2 linked regions of the Oryzias latipes genome follow. The protein of the gene in region 1 interacts with the protein of each later gene in a pairwise test. Links are inferred from orthologs where the notes say so. Each region holds a gene or a part of one and is shown in the gene's direction. Other genes may lie near its edges.

What was found. The genes of interacting proteins can lie anywhere in the genome.
Region 2: the proteins of kpna1 (region 1) and anp32b interact in binary tests that used the Homo sapiens proteins (3 or more experiments, as listed by UniProt). The link is inferred for Oryzias latipes from reciprocal best matches to the Homo sapiens genes KPNA1 and ANP32B.

Annotation. Positions count from the first base shown.
Region 1 is NC_019878.2:17,885,234-17,888,988, reverse strand, and holds part of kpna1 (importin subunit alpha-5), read left to right. Parts: intron 1-376; coding exon 377-540; intron 541-729; coding exon 730-808; intron 809-890; coding exon 891-1,016; intron 1,017-1,110; coding exon 1,111-1,238; intron 1,239-1,563; coding exon 1,564-1,739; intron 1,740-1,963; coding exon 1,964-2,151; 3' UTR 2,152-3,755. UniProt on the Homo sapiens protein: Functions in nuclear protein import as an adapter protein for nuclear receptor KPNB1. Binds specifically and directly to substrates containing either a simple or bipartite NLS motif.
Region 2 is NC_019859.2:16,898,525-16,901,450, reverse strand, and holds part of anp32b (acidic leucine-rich nuclear phosphoprotein 32 family member B), read left to right. Parts: intron 1-506; coding exon 507-656; intron 657-732; coding exon 733-855; intron 856-1,877; coding exon 1,878-2,064; intron 2,065-2,154; coding exon 2,155-2,279; intron 2,280-2,366; coding exon 2,367-2,433; intron 2,434-2,926. UniProt on the Homo sapiens protein: Multifunctional protein that is involved in the regulation of many processes including cell proliferation, apoptosis, cell cycle progression or transcription.

The DNA of each region.
Region 1 (3,755 bases):
GTGGCACGTTTTTTATCATAACTCACTACATCTCCCAAAGTTCATTGGGTTAATGCAACAGTATCTCTTTCTGTTCTAATGTAACTATATTGCACAACAAAAGCAAACATTAAACAGTCTTGGATACATTTTTACTTTAGAGCAACTGGAAAAAAAACAGCATTTTAAAATGTGTATGTCCTCTTACAGCCTTGTGTTGGAAATTATTGAAAAATGTCAGAACTTTTAACAAAACTGCTTCAAATTCAGGCTTTTTGTACCGCAACAATAAAAAAAATGCCTGTGAGGTCCTGGAGGGTCTGAACTGAAAAAGGAGCGACATAAGATGCTTAATTTTGTTTATTTCTCACTACTCTTGTTCTCATGTTCTCCATAGGTGTCCCCCTGTTTGAACGTGCTTTCTTGGCTGCTGTTTGTCCATGACACAGACATCCTTGCTGATGCATGCTGGGCACTCTCCTACTTATCTGACGGCCCAAATGACAAAATCCAGGCTGTTATTGACTCAGGAGTTTGTCGCAGACTGGTGGAACTGCTGTTGTAAGTAAAAGATAAAAATACAATAAAGATTTTGACAGAGACTTTAAATGAAGATATTTGGGGTTGAAAAAGCATGTTTTCAGTATTGAGGAATCTCATGCATGTTTTTGCCCTCTTGTATGGATTGAAATGCTAGATTTGGATTTATTGTGAACATTGTTTTGAAATTTATCAATGGTTCCCCTCTAGGCATTCTGATTACAAGGTGGTTTCCCCTGCTCTGAGGGCCGTTGGAAACATCGTCACTGGAGATGATCTGCAGACACAGGTAAGAATAACTTCACAAACTAAGCTAAAGTGCCTTTTGAGTTAGAATTGTTAGATTCATTTTTAAATTGGTGTCTGTCTAGGTGATTCTGAACTGCTCAGCCCTTCAGTCACTACTTCACCTGCTCAGCAGCCCCAAGGAATCTATTAAAAAAGAAGCTTGCTGGACAATCTCTAACATCACAGCAGGGAATCGAGCACAGATACAGGTTTGCTTTTCATGACACAAGCGTGTTGGCTTGGGGGGAGTAATTGCGTAACTTTATTGTACCGTACCTAATAACTGGGTTTATTTGTTCACAGATGGTAATAGATGCAGGTTTGCTGCCACCTCTCATTCACATCCTTCAGGTGGCGGAGTTTCGCACGAGAAAGGAGGCAGCATGGGCCATTACTAATGCCACTTCTGGAGGTTCTGGAGATCAGATTAGGTAAGACGCACAGTTCAACACAATGTATTTAGCTGATTCAGATTTATTTATTTTTAATAAACATATTGTGGCTTAATTTATGCCATTAGAAAAGTAAAAAAACTTGATACTTAATTAAACTGCATCTATCCGACTCTTCTCTTTACAAAGAAATTAAGTCAAAGCTTCTAAATGCTGTTCATACTGAAAGTCCCTCTAGACAGACTTTAGCTCTGAGTAAGCATGTTTGGTTCCTGACTAATGCTGCGCAAACACAGTTGATCCTCAGAGGTTTATTCTGAGTGATATAACACCTGTCCTTGTCTGTGTGCACTGCCCCCTGCAGGACTCTTGTGGAACTCGGTTGTATAAAACCTCTGTGTGATTTGCTCACACTAATGGATTCCAAAATAGTTCAAGTGGCTCTAAATGGTCTTGAAAACATCTTGCGACTGGGAGAAATTGAAGCCAAAAGAGGTGGTGGAATCAACCCTTACTGTGCCCTCCTGGAGGAGGCCTACGGTGAATGTTCACACTTTTGAAAGAATTATATTCTTGGAAAGAAAGTTATTGCTCTGCACAATAAGATATAGATTAGTTTCATTTATTTTTAAAATCTTATTAAAATAGTTTTTTTTCTTGCATTAGATTTAAACATTCAAAGATCTTTATTTTTTGTTATTAAGCAGTCATAATGAACAAAAATAACGGTCAGTTTCATTCAGCCCTTTTCCTATTTCTCTTAGGCCTCGACAAGCTGGAGTTCCTCCAAGGTCACGAGAACCAGGAAATCTACCAGAAAGCATTTGACCTGATTGAGCGCTACTTCAACAGTGAAGATGAAGACCCGTCTCTGGCCCCGGCCGTGGACCTGCAGCAGCAGCAGTTCCTCTTCCAGCAGTGTGAAGCCCCGATGGAGGGCTTCCAGCTATAATGTTAACCCTTCGCTCCTCCTGAGCTCCTCCGTCATTCCCACCTATGTTCACTTCTGTCAATCTCTGCCCGCTGGCAAGATCAAGGGTGGTGTTAGCTTCCAGCAGCCGCTCCTCAACGTGCTGTTAGCGAGGTGGGATTAATCATAATTGCATTTATTTAAAAGAGAAAAAAAAAAAGAATTTAAGACAACAAGAGCACGCGTGTCTGCATACGTCGGACATGGGTCAGTTTCTAAAGAATAATCAGCCAGTTTGTGAAGGTTCTGCTTATTTTTCTGTGTTGTGCCGACTTTCTTAGAATTTGAACCTTTCATGACCCGCTCCGGTTCCTGTATACCCCACTAGCACATTCTAACACCACTCATTTCTCTTTCGATTACTTTCCGTGCTCATCCAAATGGAGGATCCCCTCCACACTTGGCGGGTTTCCTGCTTCGTTTCTGAGTTGGTTGAAGTGTTTGGGCTGCACCACTTGTCTAAAGCATTAATGGACTTGCAAGACATACCTGGACGGGATCTACGCTCTCACTCCAGCTTCACGCGCAGAGAATAATCTAACCTGAACACTGGACTGACCGCACCATGTTGACCACAAGTTTGACTGTGCCCCTGGGGCGGGATCACGGGGCTCGGCGGACCTCCCTGGAAGGCACTAAAGTGACTTCAAAGCGTGAGATTGAATTCCCTTCTCTCTAATTGCGGATGGACAAATTAAAAACTTGACTTTCGCCAAGGAGTTAGAACTTGGCAGTAACAAAGCACACTGCTTGGATTCCCTCCTGGATCTCATATCATTCCTCTAACCAGTATTGGGATACCTTCACCTGCACAGGCTCCATTATCGAGTTTAAACTGCCTCCTGCCTTCTGGTGTGATGTGAATAAACCCATGGAACCATGGGAAATAGGAGTCTTCCCTTGCACTGAAACTATTGGACGGACTTGGACGAGACGAAAACGGACTATATAGAATCCTGGATTCAGTCCAGCAGCAAACCAGCGAGAATTTTTACTAAACCAGTTTCATTTGCAGCACTTTAGTTCTGGCCTGTTGCTTTGCTCATTGACAGGAATTTCCTTTTTCGCTTTTATTTGGATGATAACATTGCTCTTCCCCTCTTCTGGATGCAAGGGATAAAAGGTAGTGTACTGAGGGTGCCCCCCCCTCCCCGCTCTAAACTAGCTTACACTGTTTACGCTTTCTAGTTGGGGAATCAAGGTAACTGTGGACTAAAGCTGTCAGTAGAAAATGTGTCACAATCAGAGCATCATGCTGCCTAAACTAGACAAGATGTAGTTGCTTAGAAAAAAAGTTGACCTGAAAATATTTAACTTTCTGGCACAGGTTGAGGTAGTATTTTCTTTATTAATCTCAGCAAATCAATCTTTTTTTTTGGTACTTGGTGTGATGCGGTCTTTAATCAAAGGCCTTTTATTCTTAAATTGGGGGATTATTTCATGTCACGGTGCCATAATTTGATTAGAACACAAATTCTTCCCATAATCCAAACAAAACAAAATTTAAACTTGAAGAATCTTAGTGGTCCTTAGTTAGCACAACTGAATGTTTGTTTACCAAGTTCTCTTTATCATTTCATTTATCG
Region 2 (2,926 bases), on another chromosome or scaffold:
ACTTGGAGACAAATGGATCTATTTATGTCTTTGTTTTTGTTGTCCGAATTGCATTTTGCTCAAAACTGTAAGTCTGGATGGCTCCGATATTGCTCGTCATTTTTGTTGCACCACTAATGTTAGGTTGGGGTTGTGAGGGGCTGCAAGCTAGCAGAAAGAGAAAGGGATTATGGGAAAGGAGGGTCGGCTTAACGACTTTCCTGCCGCTCTGCAGCAACTATGTCCCATAAAACGACACAAGGTTTTTTGGGGGTTTTTGGCCAAAAACAACAATCATAATTAAAGGACCACTGGGTCTCATCATCAAAAGATTATAAGGGTGGGATTTTAAGTAAATAAAACAATTTTTTTGTCTTCCATCTTCTTGCACTAAACATTGCATTCTTAAAGGGAATGCTGTGAATTTTTTTTATTTTTTCATGTTTGCATCTTAAAAAGCAGAACAATCTGATATTTATGCATGAAGAAGTTGTAATTTGTTTTTTTTTACTTTTTACGTCTTTTAGGTACGCGAACTCGTCCTTGATAACTGTCGATCGATCGAAGGGAAAATCGAGGGGCTCACAGCTGAGTTTGTCAACCTGGAGTTCCTCAGTTTGATAAACGTTGGCTTAATCTCAGTGTCCAACCTACCAAAACTAGCAAAACTTAAAAAGGTAAGCCCAGACTACACCGCTCGCACTCTTGCACCTTTCAGTGAAGATTCAGCTCATGTGCTGCGTTGCCTTTCAGCTGGAGTTAAGCGACAACAGAATCAGCGGCGGCCTCGATGTTTTAGCAGAGAAACTCCCCCACCTCACACATCTAAACCTGAGTGGGAACAAATTGAAAGACCTCAGCACGTTGGAACCTTTGGTAGGTCTTCACATGTGCCCTAAGATGCAGAATGTTACACACGTTTGCCCAATATGTCTGATTCCTATGCATTTAGACAACAAGCCTGCATTACAATGATGTGAAGATGTAATATTTTAGGAAGTAAAAGTTTTCTTTTTTTCAGTGTACCTGCAATGTTGTGAATTATTAATGCCCCAAAAACTTGGATATACTTTATCTACGATTAGAATCATTCACATAGCAGAAACTCAGAAACATTTTGGACTGTTTGATTATTTATTTATTATTTAAAGTGAGGTTTAGTTTTCAGAACTGCTTTAAAAATTTTAAGCCTAGACAAAGGCCTTTATATAAACAAGACTGTAGTGCGTCTGTGCATAGCATCTACTTATCCACACTCTAATGCGTTGTAATTAAGGGATGTTGTTTTCTGAATGAAAAATAACCTTTATTTATTTATTCATTTATTTTAAATAAAAATTAGCTACCGTAATTTTTCAATCTTAAGTCACAAAACTGATTACAACTGTTGCCTTTCAGTCCGGGGCAATAGAAAGGATCCCATTGATTTTGCCAATATTAAATCCTAAATAGCTAAATAAATCTTCAAATGCACTTTAAACTTCTACTTGAGTTTGGATTCTATACCTGAGTCCATGATTCTTAACCTAGTTATTTAGTTAAAAAAAAGGTACCGGTACATTTTAAAATGTAGACATTACTATCAATGCATAAAAAAAACGTGATCATAAACCTGTCTCCTCCTGTTGGTGGATGCAGAATAATCTAAAAGACACAATAATAGGAAAGTAGCATATAGGTTATCTTAACTGTGAGGTTAAAAAAAACTTTAAAATGAGAAACAATTGAAACCACCTGTTCAGAATCATGGAAAACACTTAACTTAACAAGACTTAAAAAAGCCTTCAAAGTTTTTAAAAGTGCTGAAAAATATGGACCTCTTGGTTAGTCCGACTCAGCATCTCTAGAGCAGCTCCTGCCGTTTCACTGTCATGGATGTTTTTGCTTTTGTTGGACAGAAAAAGCTGGATAACCTGAAGAGTTTGGACCTGTTCAACTGTGAAGTAACGAATCTCAACGACTACAGAGACAGCGTCTTCAAGCTGCTGCCTCAGCTCACCTACCTGGACGGTTATGACATAGCAGACAGGGAAGCCTCTGATTCAGACGGGGAGGTGGACGGTGTGGATGACGATGAAGATGAAGGTTGGACGTCTGCACTTTTCTTTTTTTTTTTCTTGTAATGTATGATATTTTTCTAACTGTATTTTAAAAAAATTTATGGTTGTTTTACAGATGGAGAAGAGGAGGAGGATGAAGACGGAGAGGAAGAGGACTTTGATGAGGAGGAGGAGGACGAGGAGGATGAAGAGGAGGTAGAAGGGGAAGACGATGACGAAGAGGTCAGCGGTGAAGACGAGGTAAAATAAAAAAATCCAATCGGTTTATGTTGTCAAACAGTTCTGATGCATTTCTGGAAATCTTTCTCCGGTTTTGTCTCTTCTAAGGAGGAAGAGTTCGGTCAAGACGGAGAAGTAGAAGACGAGGATGAAGACGAGGATGAAGACGAGGAGGGTATGCAGCTCTGCAAATTGCAAAAAAAGCTCTCAGAAAGTGAAGTGACAAGTTAGTGTGGAATGTGTCAGTGGGGGCATCGGTTAAAATGTCGGGACAAGCTCACCCACACGTGTGTAATTATGTAGAGGTAACACTTCTACGCATGTGACTTAATGATCATTTTTTAAAAACCAACAGTGGTCCTTCGTTAATTTCAGAAAAAAATAAAATTGATACTTTATTTATGGGGAAATTCTTCCCTCTGGGGGGAGCGGTGAGCTGCAGACTCGCTCGGGGGACGACAGCTGGCTGGGGAGAGCGGGAATCGATCCACCAACCCTTCGGTTGTTGGACGACCTGCTCTACCGCCTGAGCTAAACTACCGCCCAAATTAATTAATTTCAGTTAATTAGCTTAAGTAAGTAAGGGGGGGAAAAAACCCACAATAGGGGGAATCTGCAAAGAAGTCAGCTTTATTTATAACAATAATATGAATGTTTTAAGGCTGTAA